Linked DNA regions of Mytilus edulis. The protein of the gene in region 2 binds, or shares a complex with, the protein of the main gene of each other region. Links are inferred from orthologs where the notes say so. Each region holds a gene or a part of one and is shown on either strand. Other genes may lie near its edges.

Evidence for each region.
Region 1: the proteins of mitochondrial import inner membrane translocase subunit Tim10-like (region 2) and mitochondrial import inner membrane translocase subunit Tim9-like are in contact, whole or in part, in a crystal structure (PDB 2BSK), measured with the Homo sapiens proteins. The link is inferred for Mytilus edulis from reciprocal best matches to the Homo sapiens genes TIMM10 and TIMM9. Residues at the interface, in NP_036588.1 of Homo sapiens: Glu16, Met17, Asp20, Met21, Arg24, Ala28, Cys29, Lys32, Cys50, Arg53, Cys54, Ser56, Lys57, Tyr58, Asp60, Ile61, His62, Arg64, Met65, Gly66, Lys68, Leu69, Leu72; in NP_001291414.1 of Homo sapiens: Lys15, Leu18, Gly19, Tyr21, Asn22, Lys23, Thr25, Glu26, Cys28, Phe29, Leu30, Val33, Asp35, Phe36, Thr37, Thr38, Arg39, Glu40, Val41, Glu45, Thr46, Glu50, Leu53, Leu57.

Annotation. Positions count from the first base shown.
Region 1 is NC_092346.1:22,145,253-22,155,507, reverse strand, and holds the start of mitochondrial import inner membrane translocase subunit Tim9-like, read left to right. Parts: upstream 1-5,186; 5' UTR 5,187-5,295; intron 5,296-5,311; exon of another isoform or gene 5,312-5,336; intron 5,337-10,255. UniProt on the Homo sapiens protein: Mitochondrial intermembrane chaperone that participates in the import and insertion of multi-pass transmembrane proteins into the mitochondrial inner membrane.
Region 2 is NC_092349.1:22,051,813-22,062,524, forward strand, and holds the start of mitochondrial import inner membrane translocase subunit Tim10-like, read left to right. Parts: upstream 1-6,081; 5' UTR 6,082-6,174; coding exon 6,175-6,257; intron 6,258-7,307; coding exon 7,308-7,515; 3' UTR 7,516-8,042; intron 8,043-10,712. Other genes in the region: TRAF-type zinc finger domain-containing protein 1-like, read right to left, coding at 5,690-5,736.

The DNA.
Region 1 (10,255 bases), on a different chromosome or scaffold from region 2:
GGCAGCGACAAACCAATAGCTTATACATCTCGAACACTTACATCAGCAGAGAAGAATTATTCCGTTCTTGAGAAGGAGAGTCTGGCCATAATATTTGGTATCAAGAAATTTCATCAATATTTGTATGGACACCCCGTTACAATCATAACCGATCACAAGCCGCTCATAGGTTTATTTCGAGAAGATAAACCTATACCTACAATGGCCGCATCTCGAATTCAAAGGTGGGCACTGACGTTAGCTGCATATGAGTACACGATTGTATACAAAGAAGGGAGTTTGAATGGTAATGCGGATGGACTAAGTAGACTACCGCTGAAAACAAACATTGAAAAGACACCAACGCCAGGTGATACTATATTATTAATAGAACATTTAGCCACTACGCCAGTTGATGCTAAACAAATTCAAAAGTGGACACGCAAGGACACAATACTATCTATGGTGCTTAGATACATTTTGAATGGATGGCCGTCAAAATGTCCAAATGAAGAAATAAGACCGTATCATAGTAGGAAAAATGAACTCAGTAGTCAGGACGGATGCATATTGTGGGGAGGAAGAGTAATTATACCACAACCAGGACGTGAAGCCATGTTAAATGAATTACACCAAGGACATCCAGGGATTACTAGAATGAAAAGTCTAGCAAGAAGCTACATATGGTGGCCGGGAATGGACAATGACTTGGAATTAACTGTAGTTAATTGTTATAGTTGTCAGGAAAACCGCAAGTTACCAGCAGAAGCACCGTTACATCCGTGGGAATATCCGAGCCATCCGTGGTCAAGAATACACATAGACTTTGCAGGACCATTCATGAACAAATCATTTCTAATTATGGTTGATGCGTATTCAAAATGGATAGACATACACGTAATGAATTCTACAACATCCGAAGCTACGATTGCAAAACTTGAACAAACGTTTGCAACACATGGATTATGTGATCTCATTATTAGTGATAATGGAGCCGCATTTACTAGCAAGGAATTCGCCGATTATGTGAAATCAAATGGAATTGAACATCGTACTTCCGCGCCGTGGCATCCAGCTAGTAATGGTTGTGCTGAACGAGCAGTTCAGAGTTTCAAAGAAGGTATGAAGAAAATCAAAGAAGGAACTGTCCAGGAAAAGTTGAACCGTTTTCTTTTTAACTACCGTATAACGCCACAAACAACGACAGGATTGGCACCATCAGAATTGCTTATGAAAAGGAAACTCAAGTCGCGTCTAGATTAAGTTTTTCCAAATATTGAGAAGCGAGTTCAGGAAAGACAACAAAAACAGAAACATTATCACGATAAGAAATCTGTGAACAGACAAATTAATGTAGGACAGGGAGTATTTGCCCGAAATTTCGCAATTGGTTCAAAGATTAAATGGATTCCAGGAGAAGTTATAAAACAATCAGGACCACTTTCATTTCATATTAAATTGCAAGATGGACGTGTCATTCGTAGACATATTGACCACATCAGAGTACGAAACTTCGATTGCACAAACAACGAAAATGAAGGAAAATGTGACAATGACAGTGATTTGTTTGAGCCAGAAATAACTATACCGATAAGTACTCCTGAGACCGAACAACCGCAAATCGATAAATCGTCAAACTTGACTGAACAAATGGAACCACGCTATCCGAAGAGAATAAGAAAAGAACCATCGCATTTAAAGGATTTTGTGTTGAAATAAATGGTTGATTTATAAAGAGGCATAATAATCCTCACAACCGTTTGAAGTGCATTAAGTACTTCGCAGTGTATGTGTGTACATATCAATTAGTGTAAGAAATAACAACAAGACCAGTGCGAACATTTTAATTTTTATTTTCATAGTAGGACATTATAGTTTCAGTGCAGACAAACTTTAACGAATGAATCTTTGTGATCTGACATTTTTATTTGTTTTCAAACTGATATGGACTTATCAATCAGTAGCCGTGAAAAGACATTAATTTTCTGTAATTGAGTTAATTTGTTTTTAATTTGTTTTTATCTAAGGCCGGAGAAGTGTTATAAAGTTCACCTCACTTTATTACCGTATCATCTGTTACAGTAATTATAATTGACAGATCAGCAACTCTCACATGTCTGCCCGTTCTTAAATAAACATGCAATTAAATAGATCAATTGAAGTTCTTATACACATGTTGTCATTCTGTAGTCTGACCATCAAACGATGTACTTGTTAATAAATTAGTTATAGAAACTGGATTGTATTATTACATAGCAAATATATTACAGTCCTCAATGCTCTTCAACTTCGTCCTCTATTTGGCCTTTTAAACATTTTTTAATTCGAGTGTCACTGATGAGACTTTTGTAGACGAAACCCGCGTATGGCGTAAATATTATATGTTATTCAGACCTGAATTACACATATATTACGGATTACGCCTGACTTAATGTTATTGTCCAGTGCAGGTATTTGTTGACAAAACATATATATTGAAAAACCCAACCTGATATGTTCGGCATACGTGAAGGATTTTCTAATTTTCTGTGAACATAATTTTATCGTGTATGTAATAATTTATAATAACACTTTTAACATCAAATTAAAGTATTAGAAGTGTTAATTGCGTGATTTTGTATCAAAAATGTATTATTGACTGAAGCACGTCATTATTTTCCCTCTGTGAACCTCTGACAGTCTGATAGCTTATGACTACGTCACATAGTAACCGGTTTTATGATGACGTTTTTGAGGTTCCAATTGGGGAAAAAAACGTCGTATATACCCCGGCAGTTTTCTGAATATATACTGACATCTCTGTATTGTTATCCAATCAGAAACCTCGACACATTTGTAATCCGTAATATAAATTTTTAATTCTGGTATCTATGATGAGTTTATTAGTTTAAGTACAGCTTGTTTGAAAATTATAATGAAAAAATATAGGTCACCAATGAGTTAAAAAAAGATATTTCAATTTTAATTGCAAAAAAGGCATTTTTGCACCAAAGGAAGATCATTTGGAGCTTTTTCAAAAATGAAAGCTACACTTTATAAGTCATCTGGGGCCCACACGAATTTTTTTTGGTATTTTTGATTTTTGTACAACATGATAAAGTAACAACTATACTAAAGGTAATAAATAAAATTTGTAATGAAAAATAAATGTTTATTTTTTTTGTAAATAAAGACTATTTTCATGACACAATTTGCTTATCAAATTTGCCGCTAGCATTTAAAAATGTTCTCATCTGAAACAATATATTGTTCCTAATACTTCTTTACTTTAAATGAATGTTTCTTAGGAATCTAGTTTATGAATTGTATCAACATGTTTTATCCACCAAGAAACATGGCCGCAATGGTCGAAAATAGACTATAGGGTTCATATACATGGTGTTTATATGGCGCTCGGTTTCTTCTTCAATGTATAAGCCTTTTGTTAGTATGAGTACCTCCATATTCCATATAGAGTATATTCCTAATATATTCAAAATTTTAAATCAATTATATGCAGGTCATATATAAATTTAACCAGGTGCTCTGCAGGTCGCAGCTTTATACGACCGCAGAAGTTGAACCCTGAACAGTTGGGGCAAGTATGGCCACAACATTTAAGATTGATACAGCTCTGACAGGGCCGTAACTAGACCCTTTTAAAAGTGAGGCGAAAAATCTTCGGCGAGGGGTCTGGGGCCGATTGAAAGGCCCGCCGAAGCTCTGAAAAAAAATGACGCAAAATCGTGCATTCTGAGCGTTTTCCGGACTCTTCTCTGACGCAATTAGTTTTTAGCTATTTTTTCGACAATACTCTGGTCTCAAAGCAAACTATATAGATTCAATGGAATTCAAGACTTTTAGGTTTATGGGGCAACATCAAAAGTTAGACCGATATGTAGGATAAAGCAACAATCGTAATTCTTAAAATCATTGAATACCGGATCTGTCTATTCTTGTCTTGTATTGTGTTTTGACTTTGTTGATTTTGTTTTATGACTGAATTTAGATATAGTGACAATGCAGTATTAATATATCATACTATACGTACCGCTTTAGTCGACACTATACATGCAGGGACGATCTTGACCTCAAGTTAAAAACAAACTAAATGTACTAGATTTACAAATGAAAATCAACACTTATTACTATAATCATAAAGTAGGACAATAAATGGACAAAAGACAAACCCGGGTACAGAAAAGACACATAACTAAAAACAATAGACCATAAGCTTTGAAAATAAAAGTAAATTAGAAACATGGGTCAGTCAAGAAAAACATGCAGGGGCGACATCAGAGAGTGAAGAGAAAGTGCTACTTGCAAGACATTCGCTGTGAAAAAAGAGTAGACAAGCTTTTGTTTCCACTTTTTTATTTTAAATTTCCGACATGAGGCATTTGCCTCATTTCCAATACGGACTGGCAATGATGTGAATACTAGGGCCAATATTTCCAATACGGATTGGCAATGAATCCTGAATTACATGCACAATTAATGTTTACATGTAATTCAGTATTCATTGCCAGTCCCAAGGATTTGTAAAGTTACTTAGACTTACTATACAAATCCTTGTCAGTCCGTAACGGAAATAATTGACCGGGCCGAAAAGCAATATCATGAATATAGATCACGTGAATTATATGACCAGTACTGAGAGTACACTATGTGTTATAGTAGTCTCAGACAGAATACAAAAAAAAAACGAAATTTATTAAAAAAAATTTACATTCTTAAAATATAATTGCAAATACATTTTTGTATCATTATTGGAGAATAACTTTATGCTTGTAAGCTTAGTTATTTGTATAACAATTGAAAAGAAACCTGTTAATTGTATCATAATCATACTATTGATGCGTGAAACATTTATATACAACTTTATTGCAAAAACAGAGTTCTTAACAGCAATTTGATTTTATAGCACTTCACTTTGGTTTTTAAAGGTATTGACGTGGGCAGGGACAAAGATATACAACGGGATTGCATCTTTTTTATAAGTGGTTTATCTATTTGTCATGAGTGGAGCCGTATTTCAGCGGGATTTTAACCCTTTTCATAAGGGGAGCATATTATTATAACTATTTGCAATGGGAGTTTACCCTTTTCATAAGTGGGGCGAGTTGGTAAACAAGAGTGGGGCGGTTTTTTAGAAAGTGGGGCGAGTTTGTGAAAAAATGGGGCGATTAGATGTGGGGAGATTTGCCAGTGGGGCGATTTGTCATGGATTACTCGCAGTTATTGGTGCTCCGTAAACGGAGCGATCTACGTTCATAAATACCTCATGACATTACCATTGGTTTCCCTCCCTCACTTATATTCTCTGTTATAACTCATGTAGGTTAAAAATCAGACAAAAATTGTCACTGAGACACATTGTAAATCATACCTTTTGTTTTACGAACAGTTACATATTCAATTTAGTTAAAAGTATTTTGTTGTTTAGACCAGGAATATACTGTTTCCAGGCTGTTCAATAAACATTGTTATATAAAAGATCATAAAATATGATATTTTATTGATAGGTACTGGCATGGAAATGTAACAATTATAATAAAAATATTATTGTTACATTGGAGAATAATTGCCGCAGTACAGGGTTGGGTAAGGATCCGATTAATTACGAATGTAACAATAAAAATTGAGGCTAAGGTTACTTTGCGATATTGTTACATTTGTACATTGATGCACTTAAGGTTCATGTGGACCCTATGGCTAAAATGGCCGTATTTTCACCTCAAAATTTTCTCTGAGTACAGGCAAACCTGTGCATCTGGAAAAGTTTTAAGGCATGGCATGCCCTAGATAAATAGAATTCAAATGCATTGTATGATTTAGAAAATTCATAACTTAACTGGATTTTGCCATACACTTTTTTTCGTCTCTGCAGAAGACGATAAAATTAACAAACAGTTGAGTTTACCTTGATATGGTTCACTCAGGTACACAGTTTAAATAACCAATTATTGTCGGGTATCTATTGTCCATCTAATGTCCATGTCAATTAAAAATGCTCACTTTAATTTTTACCTGTGGGGAAGTTCTCAAACCTGTTTCCCAACTTAGTTTATTTTGGCACCTTCTGGAGAAATGAAAAAAAGTGCACGGCAAAATCCTGGTAAGTTTTTACTTTTCTAAAACATAAAACATATTTAAAATTCATTTATCTAGGGCATGCTATGCCTGAATTTTTTTACAGATGCGCAGGTTTGTCTGTACTCCGAGTAAATTTTGAGGTGAAAATACGGCCATTTTAGCCATAGGGTCCACATGAACCTTAATGTATGCTAGATTTATTAAACTTCAACCTTCTAAACTTGTATACCTTATTTTTTCATCAATCTGTAATCTGTAATGTCTGTACAATCAAGGATTTGTATAGTAAGAATCCAATTAGAATGAAATTACTATCACAAATTATCTGGACTCTGAAAATGAAAACACTGATTCAACCACTTTCAATGTCATGTCAGCAAATGTTAAAAATCAATTGCCTTCGCAATTGACTAGTACTTAGCTGGATATGGAAATTGAGGGTGGTAAAGGTTGTTTTTTTGGTGGAACGTGATCACCGTTTTTTATTTCACGTTCAACATGTTTTTACTTGTTTATTTGACGTTCAGTTGTGCAAGACGGGTGCCTCGTTCAACGTTTTCTGCTTATTTAATTTTACATGCATCATGATTTTCAAAGTCTTATTTTGCGTGCTCGATATTTTTCAAATAAAATTCTAAGACTTGGCAGGGATCGTCAAGAAATACTTTTTTAAAAGCCATAAACCAATTATATCATAAATGTGTATTATAATTCGGGAATATCAAGTAAAACAAAGAGTTAATATATACAAGAAGACAGTGACTCAGTCACACAAGGTTCAAATAAAAGTATTTATTTTTCATGCAACGTTCATTACAGAAATTATTTCACGTTCAACGTGAAATTATGTCTTATTTCACGTTTTTTTCGTGCAAGCACCCCCTTTACCACCCTCAATAATGAACGGTAATGAAATCATTTTACAACCTCACATGCATACCTGTCAACTAACCCGTATTCTGCGGGTGTTACCCGAGATTTTCACAATTCTGAGGGATCACCCGGGACACCCGTCGGGTCATTGAATAACCCGGGAATTCCGAAAATGACTAGTTTTCACCCGTATTTCTTAGCCTTGAGATTGATTTCATAAGTAATATTCCTTTGAAATACCGGCAAATTCGTAATTGTTCCATGAACAGAAAGTTCATCTAGCTGTGTAAACTGTCAAATGAAGTGACCCATTAAGTGCATGGCTTCACTTAACAGCTTTGGTGTCAAACACACTGTTAATTAACACCAATTACCTTAGCTTAAGGTCGTAAATAAATTGCACTGTTGTTTTTACAAACATATTTCTACTAGAGTTACTTCCCCTTATTTGTCACCATTCAAAATTATTCCTTATATTTCCGTTTTTTTTTGGGAAAAGATTAAATCTTAGAAAAAATAAAATTCAAATACATATTGAAATATAACTTTTCATTATTTTTATACCTTTATACATGTTATACAATTTTGAAAAAAAAGTTGAAAATTATTTTGTACATCTATACTTCCTTTAACTGTATTACTATATTTTACTATCGTATAATTTCAATGAACAAGATGGATTGTAATGAATGATTAGGATGATGTGTTTGAAGGCTGAATAGCTGGTCTGAAACACTTTAAAATTACTCTTAAACTATATCCTGATGTTTGAGGGTAAAATAAAGAACACAAGACTGTGTTAAACAAATTTATAAAAAATCTTTAAAAGTGCAATGAAATAATAATTAATAAGATTTAAAATTACTTAACCAAGTAACTTTGATTTAAATTACAAGAAAAAAGTACCATAAATACTGAAATTCAGCTTGAAAAAGTTTGTACGCATTATGACCTGAGATTTGATTCTTCAATGCAGGTCATGACCTGCATTTTCATTGTCACAGGTTGACAGGTATGCACATGTTAAAGTTTAAATATCGCACCAAGGATATTTATATACAAATCCTTGATCGCAAGAGTAAAAAAATATATTTATCAGCTGAAGCATGACAGACATTGAAAGTGTCTTTAACTGCAAAACAGGATAGTAACATGGAATTTAGAGTATGAAATACTGACGTTCATATTGCTGCATCACTCGTTTGCGATGACTGCTAGGTTTCACCAAGATTCGTTGGACTAAGACATGCTCCCAAAAACAACATATTGGATTTGTAGAAACTAATATTACAAATAATTTTTTTTAAATTGTATGCAATTTTGTAAAATTCAAATAAAGTTTTCATCGAGTTTATATTTCTAGTCCCAGCGTACATTGACGTGAATTAATGTAACAATAACCCAATGTAACCGTAGCCTCAATAATTTTTGTTACATTCGTAATTAATCAGTTCCTTACCCAACCTTTCATTCTGGCAATTAATCTCCGATGTAACAATATTTTTATTATTGTTACATTTCCATGTAACCATAGCCAGTGCCAATATGATAAACCACAGCTGGGAACAGTATATCTAGTTAATATATATGTTCCTGACCACAGTCTCTTGAATTTGAGTGATATATGTATGAAAAAATTCAATAAAAAAATTCTGTTCAATGTATTTTTTTTAATATTTTTTTTCATACATATATCACTAAAATTAAAACGACTGTGGGTAAACAGATCTTCTTATGATCAGGTTGGGAAACCCTCCCTTATGAAAGTCTGAGATGAGGAAATGTCCTTCAGATGAGGGGTTATTTAACTGTTTTAGAAAAGAAAAACTTAGGTTTTTATACGACCGCAAACAATTTTTTGCGTCGTATAATGGTATCATGTTGGGCGTCTGCGTCGTCGTCGTCGTCTGAAGACGCATTTAGTTTCTGGACAATAACTTTTGTTTTAGTGGATGAATCTCTATAAATTTTTACCAGAAGGATCAATACTACTAAAGGAAGGTGGGGATTGATTTTGCGGGTTATAGTCCCAATAGTTAAGGAATTAGGGGCCAACAATAACTTGTGTTAAAGTGTATGAATCTCTCTGAAATTATACCAAAAATATATACCATAAAAGTTTCCATACCCTGAAGGAATGGTTAGTATTGACTTTGGGGGTTATTGCTCAAAAAAAAATTCTTTATATTTGGAACAATTATCGTCGATGCTTGTAACATGTGTAAGGTTGTTGTTCTTGCAAATTCGATACATCTCTGCTGGATTTCCAATTTAATCATGACATCATGCAAAAAAACTAACCACACATTTTTCATTGCATTTTCACTAGTATTGACTACAAAAGAGAAGTTGAGAATGATCTTGCATAATAATTGTTTAAACATCTATTTCCACTATTTATGTTTTACTCCTCTCGTAGAATTTCGTTGAATTCTTGGGAAAATCTTTTCAGCAATGTTGTTAACATGGAAATAATGACTCGTCAACTATCATGTCTAATTTTAGGTTATGTGGTGCTCATATTCCTTTTTAAGGCCAAGTGTATTATTTTTTTAAGTCTTGTTGTGAGCTTTTTTTTTTATGATCAGAAAATGATTTGGTATATTTTGATAAAACAAAATCTGCCAAGTATTTGCCTGTAAAAGTAATTTATTCTATGTCATTGAATGCTAATGGAATGAAAAAATACTTTGATGCATTTATGACATTGTGACATAGTTATAGTTATCTTAAACATGTTTAAAGTGTCAAATACTGAATTTTCCAATTGACCATCGAAAGCCACATGTAAAAAATCTATTATTTTTGTATGGAGATTTAACGTGGAGCCAGTATGTCCCAATTACTCTATTTAACGAGATATTCATTTGCCAATGTTTGTTATTTGATTTCAAATTTATTCTGGAATGTTAAAATACATAATACAATAGGCCTGACCTATATATTGTTGCACATGGGCAAAAACAATGTCAAAAACAAAGGTCACGAACTTACACAATGTACAAGCACGTCTACTTATTTACAGAATCAGGTCACAATACGAAATATAGATCGATTGACCATGTCTCTGAAACAATATATTTGCCAATTCCCGTAATTGACCCTGTAATTAGAGATCCCTTTTTAGCTCACCTGGCCCAAAGGGCCAAGTGAGCTTTTCCCATCACTTTTCGTCCGTCGTCGTCGTCGTCGTCGTTAGCTTTTACAAAAATCTTCTCCTCTGAAACTGCTGGGCCAAATTAAACCAAACTTGGCCACAATCATCATTAGGGTATCTAGTTTAAAAAATGTGTGGCGTGACCCGGCCAACCAACCAAGATGGCCGCCA
Region 2 (10,712 bases):
GCAATTGTAAGCTCTTCAGTCACACATTTGCTGGGAATAATATGCTCTTTTATGATTTTGGAACCATAGTGGTATAGACCTTCGAGAGATATAACTGAACAGGACATAATGCTCGCTGATGACATCAGAGTAGATTTTAATTAAATGTACAATGTATTCTACATTTTGAATGAGCCGAAACTAATTACCCTGTATTTATGATTTCAGTAAATGTTATATTTATCACAGGCCTCGACAATAACGTTTGTCCGATTGTCCGGTACCAGAGGAAAAAAAAATCGGACAAGTAAAAGCTGTATCAAGCTTGTCCGTCGGGACAAGTACAGTTATTTAGCAGAAAATAAATTTAATCCAACTTTGATGAACAAAGTAATTTATTATAAACAAAAAACAAGAAAACAAATATTAATTTGACATGTTTCTGTATTCTGTTTATTCAAATGCAAAACCTTTTCCTACAACATGTTTACTTGCAATCGATAATTTTTAACTAGTTCTTTGTCAGGTACTTTTTAACAGGTAAAAGGAATACTATTCTCGAAAACCAGTCTTACTGATCGGAATCATGATGCGCTTTGTAGATAAGGTAACTTTACAGGACAGTTCGTCACCTCGAAAGATTCAGCTCCAAGTTTAATAGACAGTTTAGCACCGTAGGAGACATATAAGTAGACATGATTGATAGACAGTTTGACAAGGCAGGAGACATTTCGGGACCAAGACAAATCAGTGCCTCATTTTGCGACCTTATTCTGTTCCTTATAATAAATACCATACCGTAATTTTTTCACAATTTTTTTTATTTTATTTACCATAAAATTCACAAAATCATATTTGATCAGAAGTAGAAACCAGGTGCTCCGCAGGGCGCAGCTTTATACGACCGCAGAGGTCGAACCCTGAACAGTTGGGGCAAGTATGGACAAAACATTCAAGCGTGATACAGCTCTGAATTTGGATTGTGATCAAATTTTTGACATTACATGGTTTTTTTTTACACAAAACAAATGTCAAGATTTTACAAATCAATTAAAGATTTCTTCTTCAAACTTTTTAAATCTAAAATTAAATAGTTGACACAGCATAGGTTTCTGACACAGAATGAATGTGGTCTAATGAACTTAAAAGTTTTTTTTTTGCCTTTGAGCAATTCACTATGCTGTTGAATATTAATCCTCTCAAAAAAATGTTTGAAGAAATTTTCTTTTTATTTATGAAATCTGAAATGAGAAAAATTTAAACCCCCCCCCCCCTTTTTTTCACATCCCCGCTTCCCTTTTTCCAAAACTGATATCAATTCAAATTTCTAATGGAGTTTGCAACAATAACTACTCTTTTAAATACATCATAAAATATTAAAATGTAAAATAAAGTATTTGTTATCACTGAATGGTAAAGATTGGTTGGTAGTAAAAGTGAATATACATTGTTTATTGTATAAAACAATAAAAATAACTTCATCAGCAACATTTTATATTGGCAAATTTCCAATGAAGTTATTTACATAAAGTTATTGGCAAATAAAAATAGAAAATGACATCATAGTCATGTCTGGCAAATGTCCAACATACATTATCTAAAAACATTTTAGATAAGATAAGGAAAAAAAGCTTCATCAGCAACATTTTATATTGGCAAATTTCCAATGAAGTTATTTACATAAAGTTATTGGCAAATAAAAATAGAAAATGACATCATAGTCATGTCTGGCAAATTTCCAACATATATTATCAACTACTATTCTATACAAAGAAAGATAACTCTAATTGAAAATTAATTGCTATTGCACAATATTGTGCAATTAGATATTTCTTGCTATTGTGCAATACTGTGCAATTGAAAATTTCTTGCTATTGCACAATACTTGATATGGAATCCTGATTTGGACCAACTTGAAAACTGGGCCCATAATCAAAAATCAAAGTACATATTTAGATAAAGCATATTAATAAGCCCAAGAATTTAATTTTTGTTAAAATCAAACTTAGTTTAATTTTGGACCCTTTGGACCTTAATGTAGACCAATTTGAAAACTGGACCAAAAATTAAGAATCTACATACACAGTTAGATTTGGCATATCAAAAACCCCAATTATTCAATTTTTAATGAAAACAAACAAAGTTTAATTTTGGACCCCAATTTGGACTAACTTGAAAACTAGGCCAATAATTAAAAATCTAAGTACATTTTTAAATTCAGCATATCAAAGAACCCCAAGGATTTAATTTTTGTTAAAATCAAACTAAGTTTAATTTTGGACCCTTTGGACCTTAATGTAGACCAATTTGAAAACGGGACCAAAAATTAAGAATCTACATACATAGTTAGATTCGGCATATCAAAGAACCCCAATTATTCAATTTTTGATGAAATCACACAAAGTTCAATTTTAGACCCTTTGGGCCCCTTATTCCTAAACTGTTAGGACCAAAACTCCCCAAATCAAACCCAACCTTCCTTTTATGGTCATAAACCTTGTGTTTAAATTTCATAGATTTCTATTTACTTATACTAAAGTTATGGTGCAAAAACCAAGAATAATGCTTATTTGGGCCCTTTTTTGGCCCTTAATTCCTAAACTGTTGGAACCAAAACTCCCAAAATCAATCCCAACCTTCCTTTTGTGATCATAAACCTTGTGTCAAAATTTCATAGATTTCTATTAACTTAAACTAAAGTTATAGTGCGAAAACCAAGAAAATGCTTATTTGGGCCCTTTTTGGCCCCTAATTCCTAAAATGTTGGGACCAAAACTCCCAAAATCAATACCAACCTTCCTTTTGTGGTCATAAACCTTGTGTTAAAATTTCATAGATTTCCATTCACTTTTACTCAAGTTAGAGTGCGAAAACTAAAAGTATTCGGACGCAGGACGACGACGACGACGACGACGCTGACGCCAACGTGATAGCAATATACGACGAAAAATTTTTCAAATTTTGCGGTCGTATAAAAAACAATACTTGCAATATGGTGACCTATAGTTGTTAATTTCTGTGCCATTTGGTCTCTTGCAGAGAGTTGTCTCATTGGCAATCAGACCCTATGATGGCTTATCTTCTTTTTATTGATTGCATTTGAATAAACTTTTTTCAACTTAAAAAACAAAACAGAATACAAATCCAATGAGTGTACAGGCCTATCAGATGGTGCCTCATGTTTAGAGTCTGGTGAGACTAGCATTGATGAAAACTAAAACCCAATTCCTGTGATATAACTAGTTTCGCAGTTGTACTTGACTCATATTTTTGAAAAATAAAAAGAAATACATCTAAGTCTGTTATAAATGTATTGTCTAAATTCGTTTTGCTCCTTTTAATAATCAACTAAAAATGTAAAAAGGTTATTTTTAATAATAAAAATTAGGACAAGTAACAATTTCATTCGGACAAGTGAATTTTGGTATGTACTTGTCCTACAGGACAAGTTGAAAAAAAAGTTATTGTAGAGGCCTGTATCATGTTATTTTATCTATTCTTAATTGCATATATAAACACTATTCTATTTCCTTTTTATCTTAATTGCCAAGCTATACATGTATATCTCGTGGATGTCATGTACAAAAATTGTATGTGGTACATGTACATGCTTATTAATCATCTGGACTGATTAATCATGCACAACAAGATTATGTTGTGCAATCAGCTGTCAATGTTAAAATTTCTTAAGGTGGTGCTCACACTATTAAATACATTTTTTGTACTAGCGGTGATGCCATAGCAAGTATTATGTCTGATCGATTGCCATTGACATGAGGTATAATGTATTCTGTATAAAATTTAGATTTATAAATCTATTGATTATTGCAGAATGGAGAACTGCATATTTACAAGGTGAATACAAACTTAGGTGGCAGAGGGAAATTCAAGTGTGCTGCAACGCCAGTCTTCATGATATGACACTACAGCTCAGGTGGATTTTGCTTTGTCCACTCCTCCACAGTTGGAGTGGGTACCGGGTGGGCAAAATTTCTAGCTTGTCCACTCTGCCCACCCATAGGAGTGAGCATGCAATTTCTTTTGTTTAATCAAAAGACTGGCAAGTACAGTCAATTGAAAAAAGCAGATAAGCACTTGTAATCACTATTTTTACAAAAAAAGAGATTATAGCTAGGGTGGGACTGTGGAAAAAGCAAAATCTACCCTGGCTGTTGTGTGATATGCCTTGAACCTTACTGGTTTGTCTATGAAAGCTTAAGTTTATAGCGTTTATCATGTTTATACAAAAATTTCTGAAGAATGGGATGTGGTCCTTAAAGTTAACTGTAAAAACTGCAACACCACTTATGGATCATGGTGAACCCTGTAAAAATGTAAGCCATGTCAGTCAACAATAAATAATTTTCCAATAATGCCAATTCATCTTTTTTCCTGGCTACAATGTAATTTGATGTCAGAGATCAAATATCTTTGTTACAATTTTGTCCTCATACATATTTTATCCCAAATATCCAAGGTCAACTGGTGTAGTTTATACAATTACATTGTTGGTCTCATTGACAAAAAAATGATTGAAGAGTTCATGTAAGCTATTGCGAGGTTGGCTTCTATTTTTTTTACACATGACACCTTAAAAAATCATTTTGCATGTAAAAGGGACATGGAGTCAGTCAGGACCTGTGAAATTATATTATATATGACAAAACAATAAGCAGGTTACAGGATCATAAACCCTCTCCCCACAAACTAGCCCTCCTGGCTCCGTAATTTGGTATCCGGTCATTCAAGCCCCAAACCTATCCGGCCCCAATTCAATCCGGCCCAAAGTCGATCCGTCCCAAGTCGATCCGGCCCCATAATAAAATAATGAATAATCTATATGGGCAAAATCAATTTGCGCATATTACAGTTTTGAAAGGGTATCTTTCTATTTTTTCTGATGGTATAAATTGCGGCACATTTACCGGTATCTTTTTTCTTTTTTTTTTTTCCTATATCACGTGCACACTTTCATGACTTTAGATTAAGCTGAACATCAAAATAAAGAAAACCCATCAACACATAAATTGATAAATTATAGAGTAGTTTTTCAGATGGAGATCTTGGGGAAAACTTTTTAAAAAAAAACAAAAGCTTAAACACACCAAACAAATAGATAACAACTGTCATATTCCTGACTTGGTACAGGCATTTTCTTGAAAACTTTTAAATAATAATAAATACCCACTTTACCAGAAATCCTAAAATTAGGTGTCGACTAAGTTAAGACTGATTTAGTAATAATTTACAAAATTTGAAATGTTGTTTATGTAACTATTTGTTATTACACAGGATGAAAGACTTGCAATTGAAAAAAACGGTAATCAATGCTGATGAACGTTGATTGTATTAAACTCTGTTATATATGTTTTTATTACTCAATAATGTTGAAAACTTGTAATGAAACTGTACATAATCAACATAGTTGTTTTAAACTCATCTAATGAAAATATTCCTCAAAGGCCAACTTTTTTTTACTGTACACCTTTTATAATCTTATTAATTTCATAAACATTTATCAGTGATTTACAATTCATATAATGCATGATGATATATCTTCATTATAATTTCTTATAAAAATATTTTTTTATTGGGGCCGGATCGACTTGGGACAGATAGACATGAAAGCAGTAATTTATAGTATTTCTTTTAAGGAAAACGTAATATTTACAAAATGAAATTATAAAATAAATATCCAGCAATAAATTACCAATTTTTGCAAAACTTTGTCTCCACATCTTGTGAATCTTCAGCCATGTTGATGTTTATGAAACTGAAAGTTGCTTGGTCACGTTACAAGAATGTTTTTATCATTACAAATTTGTCATTCAGAAATAATCAACCAATGATTCAAAATGAATCGCTAATTATCATTTAGTTTAACTAATTTAGACAACAGAGCAATATTCTGTTTTCGATGACAATAAAGAAACTACAAGGTGTTTCCCCTGATACAAAGACACTTGGGATAGAAACTGTAGCCTGGCTTGTCAACAAAATATTTTGACAGCTCTAATCTGCAATAGAACAACAACTGTGATTGGCTAATTATTTTAAGACGACGGTTTTGATTTGTTGGTGTAAGAGGCAAGTCCTCGCCATTTATTGTACTTCCGGTTTATCCGGCTACCTGCACGTGGAAACCCACTAACTATATTACAACATTTTTTTTAATTTGAAATATTCACATTTAAAATGGCAACGCCTTCTTTAAATGAAGCCCAGTTAAAGCTGGTTTCGGATTTAGAATTAGAAATGATGGCAGATATGTATAACAGGTGAATTGATAGACAGAAAGTGTATTTCTGAGATGTAACCAAAATTTGACCTTTGCCATGTTTATATTGTCAGTGTCAAAGACAAGTATCAGAGCACTGTACATAATACCAAGTTTTTGGTGGTGTTGGTGTTGCTCAGTCTTTAGTTGGTTTTTGTATTTTACTATGGACTTACAGAGTTAAATTTCTAACATGTCATGTGTCTAATAAACTACCCGCTCTATTTTACAAGGCATGTTGTTCTTGTGTTCTAGTCATAGATTGCAAAGGTGGCGTTTAGTTGACTGTACATTCGTGATCAGCTGTCAATGTTACAAAAAAATATGCTAGACAATCTCAATATGCAAGTGCAAAAGGAAAACTAAACGTAAACATCGCTCCGTCATAGTCATCAAGATAAACTATATCTTGTAGTACCTGTTATACACTTGCTTACCTGAATATCCATGCTTCTTTGTTGATTGATTACAAACGGGTGACAATTGTTAAACTTCAGCTTCACATCACGACTAATAATAAGCTGCCATATTTTCACAACAACACTGACAAATAGAATATTTTTTGACGATTAGACGAAACTTATGCTAACAAAATGATAAAATCGATCACAGAAGACTTAAGTTTATGATATATGTATGCATTGGTTCAAGAGTTGGATTAACATTATTTTCCACCGGTCACTATTTTCATATTACTTTAAAGTAATAAACATGATAAAGAAATTGATGGTCATCAGAAGTGATGAAACCAGCATTAATTTAAAAATAAATCATTTGATATAATTCAAAAACACTCTTAATTGAGGGGGCAATAGGGGGTCCGTTTACATGTTGACAACACCTCGATTTTGGCAAAAACATTTAGCAAAAAAGCTGATACAAACAAATAACAGCTTAAATTGATCTCAGATAACAGTTAAAAACACCTTGAAAAGGGCCATAACTGGTTAACACAAAAAGGTATCCCCCTCTTAATTTGTTCACTTTGCGTAACCCCACTATTATCTATAATAAATTAATAAATGTACAATATATATTTTCTGTGTTTTAGAATGACCACTGCCTGTCAGAAAAAATGTGTACCACCCAAGTATAACGAAGCAGATTTATCTAAAGGTGAATCAGTGTGTTTAGACAGATGTGTATCCAAGTACTTAGAAATGCACGATAATATAGGAAAGAAATTGACATCTATGTCCCAACAAGACGAGGCTACTGTGAAGAAAATCCAGGATCAAATGCAGCCCCAAAAATCTTAACATAAACTGTTTTAATAGTTGTGATATTACAATTAAAGTATTTATACAATGAAGAAATGAACAAGATACTAACAGGAGAAAGTGTAATCAGTACAAGGAAAAGCAGGCCATTGATAAAAAGATGAATTGACTCACTGTCATCAGCTGTTCTGTCATAGATTGCAAAGGTGGCGTTTAGTTGACTGTACATTCATGATCAGTTGTCAATATTTAAAAAATACACTAGACAATTAATATTAAATTTATTATGTTACTATTAATTCTTAAATTTTATAACTACATTCAGGAAGTTTTTCTAGTAAAAATTTCATTTTACTGGTTGAAATTTTATTTGGTTTTCTTAGAACATGAAAACCTAAGCCAACTGTGGTAAATAAGCATGATAAGTGCTAGATGAGATACATGTATTGTCACACTCTTGCCTTATTGAATGTTTCAGTCTAAACATTCTAAAATGACCATGACTAATCCAGTATGCTAACGATGATTTAGATTTTCATAGCCTCAAAAAAAATAATTTTTAGCATGTCTAAGGCCTAAAATAAAATTTCATTTGTTTGGCATTGCCGCCCAACCCACTGAAAAACTTGCCGCCCAAATAATTTTATTTGCGTTTCAGAAATTTATTTTTTTTTATTTAAAAACAATCGAAATTTTGCCGGAAATTGGTCGTATCTGCCGAGTTTGTTCCTGGCTTTACTTATTTCAAATCATGATCTGAAAAGCGTTTGCCTTACACTGTATTGGTAGCAAACATTTAAATGACATGGAATAGAAAAAGTCTGCCAAAAGTTAAATGTCAAAGAGGCTGACAGGGGAAGGCATCTCCCTATGCTGCAATGCATTGGTTAAGGGAGATGGATTTTATCAAAAATCAAATTTCAGCTATTCTTTGAAAGAAACGTTCTGAGAGACCTTGTAGAGGACTCAATTTTATCTTTTGTAAAGCAGAAACAGATGATTTCTGCTCGACTTTGTCGCTTCATGAGATAGAAGTTTTTCACCAGGACATCACAGAACAAATATGCGTGGCTCTTACATTTGTTGAACTTATTAAATATTTGAAATTTATCATTGACAAATTTTCCCTTGAACCAGAGAACAAAGTATCTACTATAGTCAGAACCACAATGATGCATTCAAGATAATTATGACTGTAAGCACCAAAGCTTACAGACCAAAATAATTTACAGGTTTATAGTAGTTTTGTACCAGAAGATGCTAGCCTGGAACAAAACATACATATTTTAAAGACTAGCATCTTGTGTCAATTGAAGTACTTCCCATTTTCTTGCCTTTCTTCATGAATAAGATGATTCTTAAAACATAAAAGATACTGACAGAAACATATTTATAAATGTATCCAGTGTACTAGTGATGAATAAAATCCCCTCCTTTTCCACAATTCTAAGGGCTCATTAATTTATCTGTATTCATGTAATGCATGTCCAGATTTCTGTTAATCAAACAAGCATTACAACTCATAATTTATTTATCTGCAAAAATTATCTGTCCTGCTGCATATTTCCATTTTGAATTTATCATACGTTTTAAACCTATCCCTGAAAAACCTTGCACTTGGATAATATTAGTATAAACACCATGTCTATTTGTGCCAACCTTCCAAATTTTTAATATTTTGCTATCCTAATTTGGAACAGATCCTTTATCCTCAAAACTTATCAGGGGCAGTTGGCGTGTTTGTATGGTAGTTCGTCACACCTTACATGTATGATTACTAGCCTCCAGGTATTGGTTTGAGCCCTAGTTGGGCAGTTGCAAAATTAAGGTTTGATTTTCATGTCAGATGTGATAAGGTTAGTCAGTTTCCTCCCACAGGTTGGCGTTTTCCTTCAAGTACTACGGTTTAGTACGCCACTAAAACTGACTACCATGAAATTACCTATATGGTGTAGAAAGTGATGTTTATAATAGTCCAGTCAAACTCAGATTTAACCTCAAACTAATTGCAACAGAAAATGTTTTAGTTCTTATCTATAACATTATGCCCTTTATATACACAGAAAAAAGTCCCATAAAATCTTACTTGAGGAAAACTCAAAATCAGCATTTTTAATTTCCTATGGAAATTAACATTGGAAGGGGAGATAATTCTTACAAAAATGAGTCTTTTTTGTCAGTTTTTGGTTGTTTTTCTTGAAATTGATGTAAAGTATGATACTTTGATGGTTTATAAGTTTGTATTTGACTAAATTATATAATCTTCTGTTCATGAAATGTACAAAACCGAAGTGTTATGGGTAGTTTTATTTTTTTCGTGCATTTTTCATTGAAGAAATTGCAAATTTGAAGCTTTGTAACCATTTTGAAAAAATAATGTGAAAATTTGGTATTGTTTATATCTGTATATTATGTTTTTTCAGCAACTTACTTATCTAAAGAAACTTTAAACCACAAAAAGAAGAATACATTCTTAATTACTTTTATTAAATTTGAGATTCTTTACCTTGACATGTTGAAAAATTCAATAAATGGTCAACTAATGAATTACGAAATCTAGATTATAGCTTGATAAAATATATGAAAACACCTTTAGAGGTGTTCGTTATACTCTTAAGACCGCTAAAAAATAAAAAATCAATACATTCTGATGAATAGAAGCGGTAAAGTTATAATTTGGTATCATTTTTTATTGATATTTCTGCCTTTTTTGCAAGAGTTATCTCCCTTTTCAATGCATATCTCCATAGGAATTTTAAATGGTGATTTTTTTTAGTCTTCCTCAAGTTAGATTTTATGGGACTTTTTTCTGTGTATATTTGGGGTATAATGCTAAAGATTAAAACTTAAAAATCTTCTGTTGCAATTACTTTCGGGTTAAGGTCAAATTTATGCTAGATTGACTGGACTATAAAACCAAAGCAAACAATCAAAGTTTTAAATCTTTGTCCATTTGTACAAGGAGCCGTAGTGGTTGAGCCATTTAACTTATGGTAATTTTACCAAACTGTGACCACAACTTCAAGATGTGACATCAGGCCTCTGTTCAATGTGCAGTTCCACAATAAATGTTCAATTTTCACGTCATACATTTTATATGGTTAATTTGTCATTTACCTGCCTCAGTTCTGTGTTTTTTTCTGGGTACTTTGGTTAACTTTGCCAATAAAACTGACTGTCTTACATCATGTACATGAAATTATCCATATGTTGTAGAATGTGACATTGATGGTTGA